Xenopus tropicalis: one gene and its partners. The protein of the gene in region 3 binds, or shares a complex with, the protein of the main gene of each other region. Links are inferred from orthologs where the notes say so. Each region holds a gene or a part of one and is shown on either strand. Other genes may lie near its edges.

Region 1 (4,344 bases), on a different chromosome or scaffold from region 3:
TCAAGTACATATGCAACTAACTGAAAGGATATGTATTTACTCAAAAATGCCACTTGCTTCTCCATTCATTGTTGGTATCTTCTCTTTCTGTAGGGGAGTTATCTGGCTCATACACAAGGAAAAAAGCATCAGACAAATTTGTAAGTTAAATGTGCTGATTTTATGCATTAAAAAACACAGCAATGTCAAGTCAAAGTTTCCATTATTTATCTAAAGAATGTAAACATAGCCACCCCCAAACTGTACTTCAGTTGAACGTTGTGGTGGGAATTCCTTCCTAAACCCAAACTTGACAGATAATTGTAGGAAAGGAAACCACCCAACCCATTTTTAATTCCAACCAAAACCAGTCCTCCATGCATCTTGTCAGGGTTTGTGCACAACATCTACAGTTATTAACCGCTTGCTGCAGGTAGATCATAAAAGGTATGGTGTTTGCAGTCAAGGGAGTAACTGCCAGAGCCATAGGTTTTAATGTTCTGGCTTTCTCCATTCTCTTAACCTCTCAGATCGAGAGGTGTGGCAGAGGAATGGTTAATTCTCCTTAATTTTAAACATTTTAAGTTGTGTCAAATTGCTGTACTGATTTCTCTGGCACTGTCTTATTAAAGATCATTTTGTGAACAGTTGCAGACATTCTTACTTTTTTTTTTCCTTTTGATCAGAGCTCGCCGAGCGGCCAAAGAAGCAAAGGAAGCACCAGCACAACCTGCCCCAGAAAAAGTAAAGGTAGAAGTGAAGAAATTTGTCAAAATTGGTCGACCTGGATACAAGGGTGAGATTAAGTGTTGTGTCAATATGTCTTTTATATGAATGCAGTGGTTTATAACCCTGATTCCAACATAATAATCTTTTTTGGTATCCTCAGTCACATGTGGATTACCCTTACATTTAATAGCCTATCTTTTTGTTTGAAGACTGGTTATGCTAACATTTGGCTTAATCATCTGCTTGCAACAGTCCTCTGCACCCATCAGTGCAGGTATATCACTAGGTGCTTTCAGATGGATGTCAGAATTATGCAGTCACACTTTCATCTACCTTTTGTTGCTGCTGTTAGAATGTTTTAAACATTTAGAAGTCCTGTTAGCAAATGTTTCCAGCATTAGTGATGTTTTTTGCACTGATATTGATTTGGCCACTCAGCATTGCAGCTGTTTCTGCCCTGTATCTTGAATGTGAAAGAGTAAATGATATTATTTCACTGACTGATAATAAAGCCATACATTTATTTATTTTCTAGTGACTAAGCAGAGAGATCCAGAAATGGCCCAGCAGTCTTTGTTGTTTCAGGTAATAATGTGATTTACTGATATGCCATCTCTCTTAGACTCTATTTTAAACAAATAATTTAGATTTTTAAAAACAAAGTCCCTTTTTCTGTAATAATAAAACAGTACCTTGTACTTGATGCCAACTAATATAATTGTTACTTATTGGAGACAAAACAATTGTATTTGGTTGATTTAAAGAAAACCCTGGGTCGCAAGCAATCTGGATAAGAGGTTCCATACCTGTATTACAAAAAATTCTATATTACTGATGACAACAAGTATTGTCATAAATGTTACCCCTAAAACAATAACCAATATGTCAATGATGCTCCAGATGCTATAGGGGTGCCCATGCTGTAATGATGCTTCAGCCCTGTCTTTCTTTCTCTGCAGATTGACTATCCTGAGATAGCTGAAGGTATCATGCCCCGACACCGCTTTATGTCTGCATACGAACAGAGGATTGAGCCCCCAGACAGACGATGGCAGTACCTGCTGATGGCTGCAGAGCCCTATGAAACTATTGCTTTTAAGGTAGGATAAGCTATAGAGCAAGCCTTTCTCTAGCATTTGAAACCATAACTTTGAAAAACTCGCACATACAAAACCCTTCTCACCTTATAACACAATTATATATTCTTCAAATACGATTCAGTAGGCGTACCAAACACCCACCATTTCTGCAAAATGACATATTTTTAGTACAGCCTGCACTAACCTACTGAAAATTGACAAGAATTATTTTATCCATGTATCCAATTGTGGAATTTCTACAGCACTTTTTCTTTTATCCAACAGGTCCCAAGTCGAGAAATAGACAAAGTGGAGGGAAAGTTTTGGACACATTGGAACAGAGAGACAAAACAGGTAATATAAAATACATCTTGTGCAAAAGGGGGATCCCTCACGTATGTACCCTAGTAGTCTTAATTACATGTGTTCATTTTGTGCACATTTTGCATATTTCCTCCAAGACAAGATAATTGCCTGACGTGTGATTGTGTACGCAGTGCCCAGGTGATCACTATAAAAGTCTATGGAAGGGCAGTTACAAGCTGCCCACCAAGCTGCAAATTATACAGGGGTGGGTGGCAAAACACCTACAGTCCTGCAGTATGCCATAGGGATAGTTAATTTAATAGTTTTGCCTACCCTTTTTTCTTTAAATGCCAAACAGGCTGAGGTTTAACATTGTGTGTATAAATATTCTTTTTTTATATTATTTAAATAAATGTATAGTAAAAAGCCATAAAGGAACAATAAATAACCCCCCAGTCCTGTCTTTAAGGTAATAATGCATAAATATCAGACAAATACACAATCACCATTAAACAACATTGTAGTAGGTTAGTAGTAACTGCAACAAAGGCAGTATATTCTTTGTTTATTATTACATACAGCCACCGGGTATAACCAGTTACCACAGGCATAGGCACTAAATGGAGAAAATTGCAGCATAATGTATTTAAGCCTAAATGTAAAAAAAAAAAAAGCCAAATATAGGACTTCCCAGATATAAACTGTATAAAGTAAAACACTAAATAACTATTTGAATGTGATGTACCCCTTATTGAAATGGATTACATCACCACTCCATTTTTAAATAACAAATATCCCCACTGTAAAAAATCCTCAGTCATAGTGCCAAATATCAGATCATCATAGTGTAAGGCTAAGGTTATATCCACACGAAAAAATGTTGCCGGAAACCGTTTGGTAACACTCTAGTTTTTCTACACATTTCTGAATACTTCTGGATTACCTTGTAAAGGCTTGGAGCTACAGTATGTGACCTTTTCAACACTTTTTCCTTTGCCCTCTCTTTCAGTTTTTCCTACAGTTCCACTTTAAGATGGAGAAGCCTCCACAAGCACCCACTTTGCCTCCAGCACCACCTGGTGTTAAAAGACCTGTTCCTCCAGCCATCAATGGGATACAAGCACGTCCTCCAATGCCTGAGAATATGCCGCCTCCTCCTCCAGGAGGACTGCCTATGCCCCCAATGCCACCTGGGACACCTGCACCTCCTGTACCGCCACCACAGCTTCCACCTGCCCCAGTTGTTCCTCCTCCTGGGGTGCACCCTCCTGTGCCCCCACCTTCTCTTCCTCCTCCTGGCGTACCACCACCTGGTGTACCACCACCTCCTAATCCTGCTGTGCCTCCACCTGGTGTTCCACCTCCAGGCATTCCTCCTCCAGGCATTCCTCCTCCTGGTGTACCCCCACCACCTGCCCCAGGAGTGCCTCCGCCCCCTGCACCTGGTGTGCCACTCCCTCCAACGCCAGGGGTTCCACCTCCTCCTGCCCCAGGGGTACCTCCTCCACCAGCGCCAGGTGTACCACCTCCAGCACCTGGTGTTCTCCCACCTGGCCCTATGCCTCCAATGATGAGGCCACCTTTACCTAGCGATGGACCAACAAATATTCCTCCACCCCCTCCCACCAACTGATGTATTTCTTTTTCAAAGATAAGCATATTTTTCCCAGTTTTTTTTATTTGTGGTATGTTTTAAATCATTAAAAAAAAATCCCACCTTTGAAATAATATAATGTGGTTTCTCATTTTGTGTGTATGTAGTAGAGTTAGTTACAGGAAGCAAAGCTATAATAACAAAGATTTGCATGGTCAATTGAAACAAAACATATTTGCATTGTTTTGCATTCTGTGCAAATGGATTGAGGCCTGCAATATCCTACTGGGAATTCCTGATTTAATATGTACTACAGAGTGGTGCATTGGTTATTCCAGCAATATCCCTGACAGAGTTTCCACAATAGAGGTTTTGTGAGTTGTCAAGGACAAGGTATGGGAGAGTTTCACAGGGGTGGCTTTCTAAAAATAAGCTGTGAGGGATCCCATTCATTTTGCAAAGTAAAAAAAATTAAAAACATGGGACAGCACAGTTTGGGAATGCGCATCCCACAGTGAACTCAAGGTCTTAGCTTGGCCAAAATGCGGGAACCTCCCAGCATCTCGAACAAAGCTTGGCAGTAAAGGCATCACTAATATTTTCTGAATGCAAGGAGGTATTTGTAACATGCCTTTCTGCACAAATACGTGTGTGAAG
Region 2 (4,409 bases), on a different chromosome or scaffold from region 3:
ATCCTCCTCCGCTGCTCCGTTGGGTACAGCACTTTATATAATGTGAGGAGTTAAACTATGTTGCAGTGCCATCTTGCAAGTCATGCATAATGGCGTGGCAAGATCAAGACATTTGCCAATCCTGATTGGTGGGTAGGGGGCAGCAAATCAGTACTGTCCCACAAAAATCAGTAGTTATAACCCATATACTGGGCAAAATCAAACTGATCAGATGGTTATGATCCAACAACTGTATCACAACCTAGGACTATGGGACAATGTTGTCAAAGCTGCCAGCTTATACTGGGGAGGCCAACCAAACTGTCATCTTACATTGTCCTGTGTACAATCAGGATAAAAGAGAATAAAAGCCTGGTTAGTACCTTTGTCCCTTCCTAAACCCCACCAACAGGGACCCCCAAACCTGCTTAGTTGTTGTATCTGGTTAGAAGAAGAAAAGTGCAGGTTTGGCAGCTGCCATCTTGGGCTGCTCTGGCTCCCCTCACTACTGCTCCACCAGTCTGCTTTTTATATCCAGGGGCAACAAACAAGGAGTTTTTGGTACCAAGGCATTCACCAGGCTTTCAGTTACCTTTAACATTAAAGGTTTAAAAATATACATCAGACACAATAGTCAAATCTACTATTTGGCCAATAAGACTTTCTTGTCTCACTAAATTCTCAACCAACAGACATCTCTATGTAAAAGGGGAGGAGCATTGGTCTTTACATGTGACCCTTGTATGTTCCTTTAGGGTGAAGACACACAGAGCTACTAGTAGCAGCTACTTTTTCACAGCTACTAAACGCCAAAAAATCCCCTGCCATAGACAATACTGAGAATTCCCTCTGCTAAGGGCTCTGGCACACGGGGAGATTAGTCGCCCGCGACAAAACTCCCTGTTCGCGGGCGACTAATCTCCCTGAGTTGCCTTCCCCTGCCATCCCATCGGCGACAATGTAAGTCGCCGGTGGGATGGCACACGCGGCGGCGCGATTTCCCGAAATCGCCGAAAAAGATTTGGGAAATCGCGCCGCCGCGTGTGCCATCCCGCCGGCGACTTACATGTTTGCCAGTGGGATGGCGGGTCATGACAACTCGGGGAGATTAGTCGCCCGCGAACAGGGAGTTTTGTCGCGGGCGACTAATCTCCCCGTGTGCCAGAGCCCTAAAACACATTGAGACTGTTATCAGTAAATGATCAGCATTGTCTATTTAAGTAGCGACTACAAGTAGTTGCTACTAGTAGCTCCGTGTGTCTGCACCCTTAGCTCACACCAGGGACCCTTTAATAATCCTTGGTGCCCATAGAAACAATGAAACACCCTCTATGCGCTGACAATACTGGCACATTTACTGTAAAATCTTAAAAAAATATAAAAATAAATAAATAACCCCCTCAGAGTTTACTACACGTTTACTTTTAGCTTTGGGGTTTCATTACAATACAAATATCTCCGCCGGAAAGCATTGACTGCATAAGGCATGTTAATAAAGTTATTCCATCTAAAAAAAAAAAAAAAAAGTGGTTGCGGAAGTAAGCGTTCTGAGGCCGGAAGTAGGGAAGCGGAAACTGAAGCAGCGAGGTGGCTGAGTGGTTGGCGGCGAGAAAATGGCGGCTGGGCCGATATCTGAACGGAACCAGGGTAAGGAACGTACAGACTGCGTATGGGCTGCATGGGGTGATTGGGGCGGAGGGAACTGTTATGCCGGGGGGGCTGGAAGTAGGGGTATCCGGGGTTTACAGGGAACAGTAAGAGCTCAGAGCAGGGGGAGGCGGGCTGCACTGTGTGCATGAGGTGCAGGCTCCATCTCTGTGCAAAAGTCATTTGGACACAAAGCTGTTCTTATAATATCGGCAGCCCGGCCTGTAACTGTACCTGAATCTACACAGAAACATTGATCTGCTTCTTCCCCACCAATACAGTTTATAGTGCTATCCCCATAAACACTGTGTATAATGCACAGAACTAATGCTAAGCAGCCTCCCTATATACATTCATTACACATTTCCAACGTTTATAAAGTTTCTTGCAAAATATAATTGTTAGCGAAAGCCGTCTGTCTTATTATAGTCTACACTGCTGGTTCTGACTTCTGAAACAATGTAACAAAGGCCAGGGCTATTAAACTATGAAATGGTTTCAAGAATAAGAAAGGGGCAGATAGATACTACTTCCAATAGCAATAGCATTTACCTTTGAACCACTGATTTTTTTTATTACCGTATATACTCGAGTATAAGCCGATCCGAATATAAGCCGAGGTACCTAATTTTACCTAAGAAAACTGGAAAAACTTATTGACTTGAGTATAAGCCGACCAGTTACATGGGAGTAGGAGAAACAATAGGTTACCTCAAAGCTGTTCTATCTCATGGTGGCGATTTGGGACATCAGTGCCCGACAAGACAAGGATGAGACACCCACAGAATGGCCACCCAGCACCCTGCTATATTTCAATGAGACCCAAAGCAACTCCCGGTGTGCAAGTGAAGCAGCGGTACCTTGCGGTGTGCCCTGTCAGCAGCGCCAGAGGATCCGTAAGCCCAGCATTTACGCTGCTCTTTAAATAAGCGGCGGCGCTCCTCTTAATTCCAACCTGTGTGTCTGCAAGGAGCCGTCATGTAATCGCCTCGCCAGCTGCCGTGTGACAAGGGTTAAAGAAACAGAGCGCTCTCGGCACAATTATTGCAATAAGCAGCACACCCGACAGCAACAAGACACCACGGTCCGGGAGTTTGGCGCTGTTTGGCCGGTCCTTAGAGTTGCGGGACAACCTCAATAAAGTCCGCGAACGGGTCCTTCGCTATCTGGCGGTAGTCCGAGCGCTATCTTCCGCTACGTCACAGGTGTGCAGGCAGGTTCGCATGCAACGAGCAGCTGCGAAACCATTTACCGTATATATACGCGAGTATATGCGCGAGTATAAGCCGAGGGTTCCTTTTTCAGCACATTTTTAGTGCTGAAAAACTCGGCTTATACTCGAGTATATACGGTATATATATATGTTGGAAAGTTGATGAAAACTTTCTCTCGTTATCTTTCGGGTTTATAGGTGGATATCTCCAGGGTTGTAAAGGGAAAGCTAAACCCTGTAGCAAGGAGAGTTTGTATTACAAGGATTAAAGGAACAGTAACACCAAAAAATGAAAGTGTATAAGGGCTCTGGAACACGAGGAGATTTGTCGCCGGCGATTTTTAAAAGAGCGATTTGGCGACAAGACACCAATGCTAAATCAATGGAAATTGCCAGCGTCAAAACATACGAGGCTACTTCAGATCGCCTGCTGTTTCAAGTCGCACACAGACCCTTTTCTGAGCGACTTGAGGGGGGTTAACTGTTGAGTGTACCATGGGTAGCAGATCGCCTGGAGCTCAACTCGCATGAAATCTCTTTGAGGGTATTCTCGTGGCGACTTGTCGCCAAAGCGCCAGGGGGAAAAAACGCAGACGACAAATCTCCTCGTGTGCCAGAGCCCTAAAAGTAACTAAAATATAATGTGCTGCTGCCCTGCACTGGTAAAAGCTGTGTGTTTGCTTCAGAAAGTCTACTATAATTTATATAAATAAGCTGCTATGTAGCCATGGGGGCAGCCATTCAAAGGAGAAAAGGCACAGGCACATAGCAGATAACAGATAAAACACTATTGTATTCTACAGAACTTATCTGTTATCTGCTATGTAACCTGTGCCTTTTCTCCTCTTTTCCAGCTTGAATGGCTGCCCCTGTGGCTACACAGCAGCTTATCATATAAATTATAGTAGTGTTACTGTAGCAAACACACCAGTTTTACCAGTTCAGGGCAACAGTGCCTCGGATCTATGATCTGTGCATTTATTCAGAGTGTAACGGGGATATTTAAAGAGAAGGTGGAATAGCTGATTTGCCGTGTACTATAACTTTTTTTTTTTTTCTTTTTGGATTTAGATGCCACAGTGTATGTCGGAGGCCTGGATGAAAAGGTGTCTGAGCCTCTTCTATGGGAGCTCTTCTTGCAAGCAGGGCCTGTAGTGAATACACACATGCCCAAAGACAGGGTCACGGGGCAGCATCAAGGTAAGATTGGCACCTCTTAACCATTATTTCTTATAGCTGTGTATAGGCAGGAATGGAGGGGAATGCTGTGGAGAAGTTGTTGCAATTTGTAACAAGAATGTTTTAGTCCCTCCTCCCCTGCCAGGATTTCAAATGATGCAGAAAGAGAAGAACTGTTTTGCAGCTGGATTTCAGCATATAAAAATGGTATTTATTCATGCTTTTTGAAGGAACAGATTACAGGGTATTTTGGGGGTTTCTGTGTGCGGGAAGCAATAGTTTCCACATCGTTTGATCATGGTTAAAGCAACATATCTACTTGGTCACTGTCTCTTCCCATTTGCCTGAATGGGGAAACACCACAGGTGTCCTGGTGAAAATGTGTGCTGGA
Region 3 (3,649 bases):
TGGAAACATGGGCATAATATCTACACGTGTTAAGTATTTATTCCTTATTTTTAGACGCCGGCCAAGCAGGGAGCGGGAAAGGAGTCGAGAAAGGAGAAGGTCTCGCAGCAGAGAACGTAGGAGATCCAGGAGTAAGAGCCGCACCAGAAGGTCCCGTTCAGCCAGCCCAAGCAAAAACAAGAAAGAAATAAGGTTTGTTTATCCTTTTAAATGCAAACTGACTCCATACCCAATTATTATGGCCAGATCCATTATTGTCCACAGGATCCATACTGCTACCCCCCACCCATGCCTAGTTTTAAAATCTCCTCAAACCTTCTAGCTATTTTCTCCCCCTAAATTGCTGCATCATCAGGACAACTATTAGGGGGGGACTGTTGTCTGGGGCTCAGACAAATTTTTCCCCCAGGGGAGGGCTGGCCAGGTAGCACAAACTGATGGAACCTTTGTAAAAACATAAACAGCATACCTTGAAAATGACTCAACTTACATATCAGCAATGACAATTCAGAATAGCTTGAGAGGCAAGGTGTATTTATACTTTCAACTGAATGAAAGTTAAAATCACTGGGGGCTGCCAAAGGCCCCTAAAATCGCACTAGCCGGGGTGTGGTCCTCTTCCTTCCTTTATTTCTTCTACTGCGCATGTGTAGCCAGTACAAAGAAAGAAGACGGAAGAGGGTTGGTAGCCTGCATGTACCCTGGCCCAGTGCTTTTTTTTTTTTTTTTTTTTTTTTGCTAATAGGAGCTCCAGCCCGGGGTATAGTATAAGTGAATTCAATACATTCTGACATGCCTAACATTTTGGCACCTACAGTGATTTGATCTTTCCTTCTCCTTTAAAGTTACCTATAGGTCATTGATTTTAACTGATAGCTGCTTTTGTAAGTAATTGTTAATTGAAGTTTCTAAACCTGACTGTTTTGCCAGCCTAACTTCTCAACCTTTACTCAATATCTGATGCCTTTTATGTATTGTTACATTAATTCATTATAAAAAAAATATTATTTTTAAGGTTATGTAATAGTCCGAATAGGGGGTACCTTTTTCTTACCCGCCTCATCGCCTGGAGGAGCTCTTCTTTTGTATAAAAAAAAACAAAAACTGCTTTAGCAAAGTGGCTCTTCTTTCTAATGCCTTTTTTAAAAAAAAAATTACAATTTGTTTATCTTGTGGTTCAGGATCCAAAGATGCAGTTTTTGGGTGGGTGTCTAGTATCCCCTTAAAACAATTATAATGCTAATGATATAATAATTATTATGCTATTCCAGGCTTAATCAGAGGCCCACCTGGAAAATGGTTCAAAACCACTACTTTTGCTGTATCTGTGATAAATGAAGTTATGTTCATAGGCAAAGTTTTAAAGGAACAGTAACACCAAAAAATTAAAGCGCTTTAAAGTAATAAAAATATAATGCACTGTTGCCCTGCACTGGTAAAACTGGTGTGTTTGCTACAGTAACCCTACTATAATTTATATAATAAGCTGCTGTGTAGCCACGGGGGCAGCCATTCGAGCTGGAAAAAAGAAGAAAAGGCACAGGTTACATAGCAGATAACAGATAAGTTCTGTAGAATACAATAGTGTTTTATCTGTTATCTGCTAAGTGCCTGTGCCTTTTTCTCCTTTGAATGGCTGCCTCCATGGCTACATAGCAGCTTATTTATATAAATCATAGTAGACTTTCTGAAGTAAACACACAACTTTTACCAGTGCAGGGCAGCAGCACATTATATTTTAGTTACTTTTATACACTTTAATTTTTTGGTGTTACTGTTCCTTTAACTTTTGGCTCTGTTCTACAATTCTGAATTCTTTTGATAACACCAGCATTTTTCCATAATGTAGATCAAAATCTAAAGAGAAAACAGATGGCACAGAAGCATCCAAAGAGAAGAAAAAAGAAAAGGATGACAAAGAGGAAGAAAAGGAAAAAGAGAAGGATGTTAGTGTGAGTATGTTAAGTAGACATAAGAATATTCATTGGTATTTACTGAACTTAAAAAGTTCAGGATAGAAAGAAATATTTCCATGTTTAAGTTTTCAGGGAAAGTTGGGGAGGTAGTAAGTGATAAAATGTATTTTCTGTTTTATGGTAAGAAACACATTTCAACCAAAAGCCCTTTCTGGTGGGTTTGATTTGAATATTTTTTTTCTTTCTAGACTAGCAGAAACTAGTTTCATTAACTCTGCCTTTCTCTCTGTATTTAGAATTTTGATCAAAATAAATTGGAAGAAGAAATGCGCAAACGCAAAGAGAGGGTGGAAAAGTGGAGAGAAGAGCAACGTAAAAGAGTTGTGGAAAGCATTGGAGAGCTGAAAAAAGAAATTGAAGAAATGAGACAAGGGAAAAAATGGAGCTTAGAAGATGATGATGGTAAGTGTCAAGTTTTCAATCTGCTAAAAAAAAATGACCTAGTAAAATCTGTGAAGCTTTGTTAATCGTGTACTATATAAAATGTTTGGGGATATCATTGCTGCTGTTCACAGAGAATAAGTAATGAATGTCCAGTTGAGGTATATCACTTTGGTATCTTGCAAAATGGGATTGCCTATTCATTATAGCATGTATTAAAGATATGTGGCCCGAGAGATCTGTGTGTGTTAATGTTTAGATATCTGAGGATTGGGAGGTTATGGGAACCCACTCACAGTAGCATGTCTAAGCTGTAGGTATAGAAAATAACTAGTTCTAGGGTCCTGTAGCGAGGACCTTTTAAAAAGATTTAAATTTCTCTTTCATACGGTTGGCAATAGTATTTGACCCTAAACTTTGGCGACTGGGTGTCAATAGAGTCTTGGATTACCTATGATTCCAAGTTTTGGAGGGTGACATTTTAGTATCCTTTTCCATTCTAATTTTCAATGTGGAGGGAAGCGATTGTTTCTGAGCTCTTTTCTAAAACAGAATATTTACTAGGGCCTTAACAGAACCATCTTGATTTTCCAAGGTAATCTACACAACAAGATAAATATGGTAGTAAACTAGATAGAAAGAAAAATTATGGTACTGACCAAAGGCAGTTAAAAGCAACCTAGTGTTGATGACCTTACTCCTGCAACAACTTCCTATTTGGGCTAAGATGCTTTTGATTTCCCTGGTTTCTTTTATAGCTTCATGTATGTGCTCTTCTGTACTTCTCTTTTCCCTCCTCTCCTATGACTTTGCTACTAGAAATTGCCTTGTCAGAGGAGCCCTTTAGATATATTGTAAAGGAGGAGCTACAGAATTTTTTTTATTTTGTCCGACCTTTGCTGTTTAGGTTTAACCCCCATATGTCTGTGCCAACAGAAAAGTATTTAAAGGGACAGTAACACAAAAAAATGAAAGTGTATAAAAGTAATTACTATATAATGTAATGCTGCTCTGTACTGGTACAACTAGTGTGTTTTCCTTAGAAAGACTACTATAGTTTATATCAGGGGTCCCCAACCTTTCTTACTCGGGAGCCACAGTCAAATGTAAAAAGACTTGGGGAGCAACACAAGCATCATAAAAGTTCATGGAGCCAAATAAGGGCTAAGATTGGCTATTAGGCAGCCTCTATGCACATAATCAGCTTACAGGGGCTTTATTTGGTAGCAAATTCCCTTTTTTATTCAACCAAAACTTGCCCCCAAGTCAGGAATTCAAAAATAACTCCCTGG

The links.
Region 1: ddx46 (region 3) and sf3a2 share a complex: the UniProt entries of both Homo sapiens proteins name them as parts of the 17S U2 SnRNP complex. The link is inferred for Xenopus tropicalis from reciprocal best matches to the Homo sapiens genes DDX46 and SF3A2.
Region 2: ddx46 (region 3) and sf3b4 share a complex: the UniProt entries of both Homo sapiens proteins name them as parts of the 17S U2 SnRNP complex. The link is inferred for Xenopus tropicalis from reciprocal best matches to the Homo sapiens genes DDX46 and SF3B4.

Annotation. Positions count from the first base shown.
Region 1 is NC_030677.2:102,623,166-102,627,509, reverse strand, and holds the end of sf3a2 (splicing factor 3A subunit 2), read left to right. Parts: intron 1-93; coding exon 94-140; intron 141-665; coding exon 666-775; intron 776-1,243; coding exon 1,244-1,293; intron 1,294-1,667; coding exon 1,668-1,808; intron 1,809-2,072; coding exon 2,073-2,141; intron 2,142-3,102; coding exon 3,103-3,726; 3' UTR 3,727-3,821; downstream 3,822-4,344. UniProt on the Homo sapiens protein: Component of the 17S U2 SnRNP complex of the spliceosome, a large ribonucleoprotein complex that removes introns from transcribed pre-mRNAs.
Region 2 is NC_030684.2:128,887,575-128,891,983, reverse strand, and holds the start of sf3b4 (splicing factor 3B subunit 4), read left to right. Parts: upstream 1-1,556; 5' UTR 1,557-1,592; coding exon 1,593-1,626; intron 1,627-3,910; coding exon 3,911-4,039; intron 4,040-4,409. UniProt on the Homo sapiens protein: Component of the 17S U2 SnRNP complex of the spliceosome, a large ribonucleoprotein complex that removes introns from transcribed pre-mRNAs.
Region 3 is NC_030679.2:26,202,470-26,206,118, reverse strand, and holds part of ddx46 (probable ATP-dependent RNA helicase DDX46), read left to right. Parts: intron 1-54; coding exon 55-192; intron 193-1,849; coding exon 1,850-1,952; intron 1,953-2,212; coding exon 2,213-2,378; intron 2,379-3,649. UniProt on the Homo sapiens protein: Component of the 17S U2 SnRNP complex of the spliceosome, a large ribonucleoprotein complex that removes introns from transcribed pre-mRNAs.